Rattus norvegicus: one gene and its partner. The protein of the gene in region 2 binds, or shares a complex with, the protein of the main gene of each other region. Links are inferred from orthologs where the notes say so. Each region holds a gene or a part of one and is shown on either strand. Other genes may lie near its edges.

Evidence for each region.
Region 1: the proteins of Slf2 (region 2) and Simc1 are in contact, whole or in part, in a cryo-EM structure (PDB 7T5P), measured with the Homo sapiens proteins. The link is inferred for Rattus norvegicus from reciprocal best matches to the Homo sapiens genes SLF2 and SIMC1. Residues at the interface, in NP_060591.3 of Homo sapiens: His738, Val772, Leu775, Lys778, Asp783, Phe786, Gln790, Gly791, Phe792, Thr794, Ser795, Ala796, Tyr797, His798, Tyr799, Cys820, Ile821, Gln825, Ser828, Met831, Glu832, Ile835, Arg836, Asp838, Thr839, Ser841, Asp842, Ser843, Pro847, Lys919; in NP_001295125.1 of Homo sapiens: Tyr426, Arg428, Leu431, Lys435, Leu438, Pro440, Val442, His443, His444, Leu445, Phe447, Gln448, Arg470, Arg471, Phe490, Asp493, Pro497, Val521, Asp522, Lys525, Glu526, Tyr528, Met529, Met532, Lys533, Gln536, Leu537, Arg571, Asn658, Gln661.

The regions. Positions count from the first base shown.
Region 1 is NC_086035.1:10,109,194-10,113,616, forward strand, and holds the start of Simc1 (sUMO-interacting motif-containing protein 1), read right to left. Parts: upstream 2,818-4,423; 5' UTR 2,735-2,817; coding exon 2,606-2,734; intron 1-2,605.
Region 2 is NC_086019.1:253,748,889-253,752,703, forward strand, and holds part of Slf2 (SMC5-SMC6 complex localization factor protein 2), read left to right. Parts: intron 1-1,056; coding exon 1,057-1,179; intron 1,180-1,952; coding exon 1,953-2,120; intron 2,121-3,815. UniProt on the Homo sapiens protein: Plays a role in the DNA damage response (DDR) pathway by regulating postreplication repair of UV-damaged DNA and genomic stability maintenance.

The DNA of each region.
Region 1 (4,423 bases), on a different chromosome or scaffold from region 2:
TTAGAGAACCGACTGCCTCTGCTTCCAATCACTGGAATAAAAGGTGTGCACCACCACCTCCTGGCAGGAGAAGATTTTTTAACAACTACATATCTGATAGAAGTCTACTATCCACAATATATTAAACAAAAAATACTAAAAAAAAAAAAAAAAAAAAAAAAAAAAACAAACCTGAAAAACCAAAAACCAAAAACCAACCAACCAAACAACCAAACAAAAAACTATCAAGAAAACAACCCAGGGACTGGAGAGATGGCTCAGTGGTTAAGAGCACTGATGGATCTTCCAAAGGTCCTGAGTTCAAGTCCCAGCAACCACATGGTGGCTCACAACCATCTGTAATGGAATTGATGCCCTCTTCTGGTGTATCTGAAGACAGCTACAGTGTATGCATACATAAAATAATTACATTTAAAAAATATTTTTAAAAGAAAGAAACAACCGAATTAAAATCTGGGGCAGCACATATTCCATTGTAATGACCTTACTTTGCAGACAGTTCCATCAGTCTTCAATAGCAAGAACAAACTGGCACAGCTGAATAATTTTTTTTTAATGACAGAACATGAAATTGATAAGTTACCACGTGCCAAGATACTTAATATATACATGGAACACCAATAATAAGATAGTCTATAATCTAAATATGCTAGAGGTGTTTAATTTAAACACCTAAATTATTAAGAGATTTTTAGACGATTCTAATCTCATAGTTGGGGATACGTCTCAGTTTGTGTATAATGCCTGTCTAAGACTTGAGACCTTACGTTTGATCCCCAGCACCCCATAAACCAAGTACACTTGTCTCAATACCCGGAAGGTGAAAGCGGAATCAGAATCAAGGTCATCCTTAGCTACATAGCAAATCTGAGGCTAGCCTGAACTACAGAAGACCCGGCCAAAAAAAAAAAAAAAAAAAAAAAAAAAAAAAAAAAAAAAACTAGTACAACCCATTAGAAAATATATATAGATATTTTTCTATAGTAATACACACATACACACACACACACTGTAGCTCTCCAGACAGTGGGAATGGGAAAGTTATTGCTTATTACCCTAAATTTTCTTTATCTCTATTTAAAATTACATTCATAATCCAAGGTGGTGAAAGGTCACTTTTCCAAAGATGTTTGTGGACCTGAAGAACACATGGTTTCCTTTCGGAGTGAAGTAAACGATTGATTAGCTATGGTGGTTGTAGGATGGATGAATCATACCACAGTAAAGGTACTGTTAAAAGACAAACTACCATAAAGGTATATTTACAAGCTAGATAGCACAAAAAGGCAAAATTAGGTTCCTCTCCTAAGAGGAAACTTAAAGAGGAACTAGAGCCTGCTAGTTTTACATCAAATTGTAACAAGCTACAGCGATCTGAGAGAAATGAACCTTAATTGAGAATCTATGTCCTAAGATCCAGCTGTAAACACGCCTGTAGGGCATTTCCTTAACTAGCGACTGCTGTGGGAAGGCCCAGCCTACTGTGGGTGGGGCCACCCCAGGCTAGTGGTCCTGGTTTCTGTGAGAAAGCAGGATGAGCAAGCCAGAGGTAGCAAGACAGTAAGCATCACTTATCCACGGCTTCTGCACAGCCTCTGCCTCCAAGTTCCTGCCCTGCTTGAGTTCTTGTTCTGACTTCTATAGTATGAACATCGAACTGTAAGCTAAATAAACCATTTCTTCTTAAAGTTGCTTTGGGTCATCGTGTTTCATCACAGCAATAGTAATCCTAAAACACCTACCTTTGGTGTAGGAGGACCCTGCAACTTCCCAAAGGCAACCTAAAAGGAATGAGCACTCAAAAAGTGATTTGCATGCTTATGGAGTAGCTGACCTTGATTTAGGTCATATATTAGGAAGATCAGAGACCGATCCCTGGACTAATCGAAGCCACAGCATCTGGATCACGGTAGGGGCTCACTAAATTTCTGTGGAGAGTTCTAGAAAGGCGGAGACCACAGATATTTTTATTCCACCACTTCAGGAGCAAGGATAAAGAGAACCTGGAGGAAAAACAAAGGTGCGAGTGCCCCGCCCCCGAGCTTTGTATGTGATTCGCATCTGCAAAGCAAAACAAACCGTCCTTCTCCACAACTCAAAAATCGGGCCCTTGGCTCGGGAACTAGGCCCTGCAGCGCAGCCGCCACGGTGCCAAGGGCGGCGCTTCCCTCCTCGCAGCCGAGGCTCCTGTTACCTCCTTGCACATATCTGTGCCCATCACAAGCCAAACAATTACGCGCTCCCGCGCGCCCGCCTCGAGGTCCGGGTAGCGGCTGCGGCCTGGCCAGGACCCCCCACTTCTCCCGCTGCCCAAGCTAGGTGCCAGCTCAGGCCAGAGGCCACAGCTGGCCACCGCCTGGCAGCTCGCATTGGTGCTCAATGTGTCGCCCATGTGCTCGGCCGGCTCCTCGGCACAGCCCTGTAGGGCTCAGCACTGGCCAGCCCGAGGCCTGCCTTTCCAGCCGCGCCGCCGCGCTCCTCGAGGCCGGAGGCCGCCAAAGGCGGGAAGACACGGCGGCGGGGTACCACGGTCGCAACGCCGAGGCCCCGAGGGGGCGACGCTCGGCTCCCGTCGGGCGTGGCGAACGGCAGTGGATTCACTCACCACGGTTCGGCGGGGCAGCGCGCCGGGGGTCCGGGACAGGGCCCGGCGCAGCCTCCGCGCCCTGCCCGAGCGGGTCCCGGCCGAGCTCTCGGAGCCACTGTCGTCGGAGATCACGATAAAGTCCTCCATGGCTACGGGCCCGGCTGAGCCCCACGCGAGCGGCGAGCGGCCCCAGCGACTGCGACTCGGGGTCCAGCTGCTGAAGCGACTGCAGCGACCGCGTCGCCGACACCGGGGTTAGTATCCCGCCCGCCCCGCCCCCTCCATTGCCCCGCCCCCACCTCCCCGCCTCCAGAGGACCCGTCCCGCCCCGAGCCCCGCCCACCGCGGGGAAACCGCGCGCCCGGGGCAGGCCGGTGTCACCGAACCCTGGAGGAGCCCAGCTCCCTTCCGCTCTGAGAAGGAGAGAGAGAGGGAAGAGAGGGAAGGGAGGGATAGAACTGAGAGGCTCGGCCTCATGGTCGGCCCGCCGGCCGGCTTGAACAACGCTGAGGTTGAGAGGTTCTCTACCGCTGCTCTCAACTGACCATAGAGGGCGGTGCCGGTGACTAGCCCCTGGCTGCAGGTGTGAGGAGGTGTGATTAGCCAGCCAGCTTGCTTCACAGGGAGAGGGGTCACTGGAATGGGCTGATGGAGCCTCTGATAGAGCATTTAATTGACCCGGTAGTGAGGCCTGCAACTGGCAGAAGAAGCATGATTCCTTCAGGTTTAAGAAGCCCTGAGGGGTTGAGAAGGGTAACCTGAAACTAGTGTTTGAGTGACTGGGGCTTCAGGCTGAGATAAGGGAGAGATACTCACTCTTGTGTGTGCAGGCAGATCTGTAGGATAAATTCCCAGCGGCAGAATTTTTGGATCAAATCTATGTTTTTATTGTTATTTTGGCAAATGGTACCAAATTATCCTAAGTTGTACCAATTTGCAGTTTCACCAACAATATGTGTCGCAGGAATTTAAACTGTCAAATGCAAGAGTTTGTTGAGTTCCTAGTTGACAGAAACCGCCGGAAACGGCACACAGCTACGAGATCCCAGAGTACCTGTATACTCCAGTGCTGTGAAGAAGCAGAAGTTATAAGGATAAAATTATATCTCCAACAGAGGGTGAATAATAGAGATTGCAGAACCACACACCAGTGTTTCTGACTGAGAAGCTGAGCTTTGGGAGTGAGCCCTGAAATTGGTATTTCTCTCAGGTTCCTGGGTGATATTGACATTGCTTAAAGTCTGGTAAACATATGTTAAGGCTCACTGGTCTGAGCTAGGCATCTGTGGTGCCTGCCTTGAATCCTAGCTCCTGAAAGGCTAAGGTCAGCTAGGGTGAGAGAAAAGGAGAGGAAGGTGGGGGAGGAGAAGGGGAAGGGAGGGAAGGAGAGAGATCACTGGCCTGTTGGGCAAGAAGCTTATGGCTACAGGTTTCAAATGTTTTGGTTCAATGGGCGAATTGTTATAAAGGGACACAGAAAGGTGAATTTCCTATAATACTATCAAGCATTCATTTCAACACAGATACACACAGACACACACACACATGCATGCTCACACACACATGAACACACACATGCATGCTCACACTCACACATGCATGCTCACACACACCTATGCTCACACACATACAGTACACACACATGAACACACACATGCATTCTCACACACACATGCATGCTCACACACATACAACACACACATGCAATGTGTGCACACATACACACACGAACACATGCATGCATGCTTGCACACACACATGCATGCTCACACACACACATGAACACACATATACATGCTCGCACACACACCTATGCTCACACACATAAACACACAC
Region 2 (3,815 bases):
GAAGTTACAAATCTAACTTGTTAAACATATAACTATAGGAAATCTTCAGATGTTTATGTTAAAAGTTTTTCCCTCTGAATTTAGAGAAATTGTTTAAAATTAAGCCTTGCTACATGTGAAAATACACACACCAACACTTAAATTGAGGCATGAAGATTTCCGGTGTCAGGCCAGCTTAGAATACATCAAAAGACCTATTTCAACACACACACACACACAATGATATTGAGTGTTCTCAGACCAAAGTAATATTTGGTGTGATGATTGACCCGTTGTTAGTGAGAAAACAGTGAGTTTCTTGACCACTTATTTTCCTTTAATCTCACTAAGAGGTTGTGGTTTGGCATTCCATAGTAAGTGTTATATTTGGTGGTGATAATAATCATGTGACCATGATGAAAAAAAACCCCTAATTAACATTATCAGGGTATTGGTCTACAAGATATCAGTGAATATTAAAGATTAGAGAAGATAACCAAATTTGATCATTATTTATCATTTGATTTTTCTATTTCTGGTTTGGATAGGTCATTCTTAAATTTCTAGTTGTAAAGAAATATCCAAAGGGCTGGAGAGATGGCTCAGTGATTAAGAGCACCGGTTGCTCTTCCAGAGGGCCCATGTTTGAGTCTCAGCACCCACATGATTGCTCACAGTCATTTTTGACTCTTCTGCCAGGAGATCCAACACCCTCTTCTGGCCTCTGTGGGTACTGCACAAATATGCATTTAGGCAAAACACATGCATATAAAATAGAACTTTTAAAAAACTTTAATGTATTTTGGAGATATGATCTACCCTATATTATAACATAATTTGTTATATATAACAGTACTTGGTAATTGTTTTCCTTTTAGATCACAGCAGTTGTTTTTAAATAAATCATAAGCCTAGCCTGGTGTGCATGCCTTTATTCCCAATACTCAGAAGGTGGGTGAATCTCCGAATTTAAGGCGAGGCTGGTCTATATAGAGAGTTCCAGAACTACATAGAAAGACTCTGTCTCAAGAATGAATGAATGAGGATTATTTATATGGCATTCTTTTCAATTTTCAGGCTAGATGAACTACAGAAGCAGCTACAGGAAGACATAAGACAGGGCCGTGGCATTAAATCTCCTATCAGAATTGGCGACCAGGACAGTACAGATGATGAGGATGGCCTCTCAGAAGAACACAGGTAGCGTCTTTTTACACTATCTATAATCTTCTAGTACTTTTTAACCATTTTTCAAATTTGGTATTTATAAAACAGCTGGATCTTTGACTGGCTGTTCAATGACTGATACACACTTGAATTTTGTTGAAAGGCAAACATTAAAACCAAATTACATCCTAAGTCTTAACACTGAGAGACTCAGTGGTTTTCATTACTGAACATATGAAATGTGTAGCCATAAGGAGGACTGCAAAACATTCTATCTGTCTCAGTCAATCCCCCCACCTCCCTCTCTTTCTGAGACAGGATTTTTCTATGTAAGAGCACTGACTGGCCTGGAATTCTCTGTAGACCAGGCTGGACTGGAACTCACAGAGATCCACCTGCTGCTGCCTCTAGAATGCTGAGATCAAAGTTGTGTACCTGGCTAAAATACTCTTCAGTCAGTCTTACAGTCTGACTTAATACTTTACCTACTGAGCCATCTCCGTACCCTGAGTTAATCAATCTTTAAAATTTATAGTATACCAAAAAGATGTTCATTGGTTCTATCGCATTAGCACATGCCATTAATTCCAGCACCCAGGAGGCAGAGAGAGGCAGATCTCTGTGAGTTCGAGGCCAACCTAGTCTACAGAACAAGTTTCAGGACAGCCAGGACTTTACAGAGAAACCAAAAAAGTACACACAAAATGCTGTTTTGTAAGAGTTTGCCAAGTGTTATGTATTCATCTTTTAAGTACAGAATCATATATGTCCTAACTCTTTAATATTCAATGATCCTTGTATTTCAGGGAATTTCTAAAGAAATTTTCAGTTACAGTTGATGCTATTCCTGATCATCATCCAGGTGAAGAAATATTTAATTTCCTCAATTCTGGAAAAATTTTCAATCAGTATACCTTAGATTTAAGAGACTCTGGTTTTATCGGAGAAAGTGCTGTGGAAAAGCTTATTCTCAAGTAAGTAAATCATAAATATTTGGATTTTTTTTCCTGTATAAATATTTGTTCTAAGGGCTGGAATAGCTCAATGGTTAATAACACTTAACTGCTCTTGCAAAGGACCCAGGTTCAATTCCCAGCATCTACATGGTAGCTCAGAACTATACATAACTCTAGTTCCAGAGGTTCTGACCTTTGTGGACACCAGACATATATGTAGTACACATACATGCATGCAGGTATAGTAGTCAGGGTACACTAGAGCAGTGTAACCTGAGTCATGACCCCTTTAGGGATTGCCTAAGGCCATTGGATAACAGATATTTACAATACATAAAGTTGTAAAACTACAGTTAGGAAGAATATATAAGAATAATTTTATGGTTGGGATCACCACAACATGAGGCACTGTATTAAACGGTCACAGCACTAGGAAGGTTGAGAACCATTGAACCATACAAAGTGAATTTGTATATATAGAAAGAGGGGATTTAGTAGAATGGTTTACAGGCTATGGTCCAGGTACTCTGGCAGTGGCCAGAAGAAAGGCCAGAAGTCCAGTTATTCAGTCAAAGAGGTTGGATGTCTCAGCTGGTCTTTAGTATACTCTGGAATCCTGAAGAAGTAAACTCTAATGCCAGTGAATGAATGAACTTCCTAGGAAAACGAGCCAAAGCAGGGGCAGGGGCAGGTAATCATTCATCTTCTATGTCCTTTATATAGGCTGGAGGTAGGGAGTGCCTGAACCTTTAATCCCAGCACTGGGAAAGCAGAAACAGGCAGATCTCTTGAGTTTTGAGGCCAGGTCTACAGAGCGAGGTGCAGGTCAGGCAGGGTTGCAAAGAGAAACCCTGTCTCAAAAAACATAAGAAAAAGAAATGGGTCTTCCTACTTCAAATGGTTTTGTTAAGGGGAAAAAAAAATCCCAAACAGGTGTAGAGAGATGGCTCAGCAGCTAAGAGCATTGGCTGTTCTTTCAGAGAACCCAGGTTCAATTCCCAGTACCCATGTGGTAGCTCATGACTGTCTGAATTCCAGTTCTAGGGGATCTGGCACCTCTATGTAGACATATACATGTAGGCAAAACACCAATGCACATGAAAATAAATCTTTAAAAAGAAATGAAAAGAAAAAACCCTTATGGGTGTGCCCACCTATTTGCATTTTATAGTCAGACTGACAATCAAGAATATCCATCATGGAAGCAAAATACCCATATACATAAAATAAAATCTGATTTTCAAAAGTTGCTCTTAAAAGTTTGTGACTGGGGCCCAGTAAGACTCTGCTGCTGCCTTAGATGAATGTGGACTGTCTGGGACTGTGGCCTGGTTGGTGAGTGATTATGTAGAGTATCCAGAGCCCTGTTTTGCTTCTTACACCACATGAACCAAAAGTGGTAGCCTACGGCTGGGTAAGTAAAGGTGAAAACTTTCCAAGTTGTCTTCAGTTTGCAAGTTTTAAGCCTGCTGGGCCATAAGAGATATTATCTCAAAGTGGAGAACTGATTATGTAAAATCCAGCCATGGCAGTTCACAGCTGTAATCCTAGAATTGCTGGGGCAGGAAGATCGCAAGTTTGGTGTCACTCTGAGCCTACAGAGCAGGACCTTTTCTCCAAAAACATATTCCCAGTACCACAAAAGGAAAGGGTCACCGGTGACAACAGTAATAACAGTGGCTGTCAGAAGCTGGAGTTTGACCAAGGTTTGTT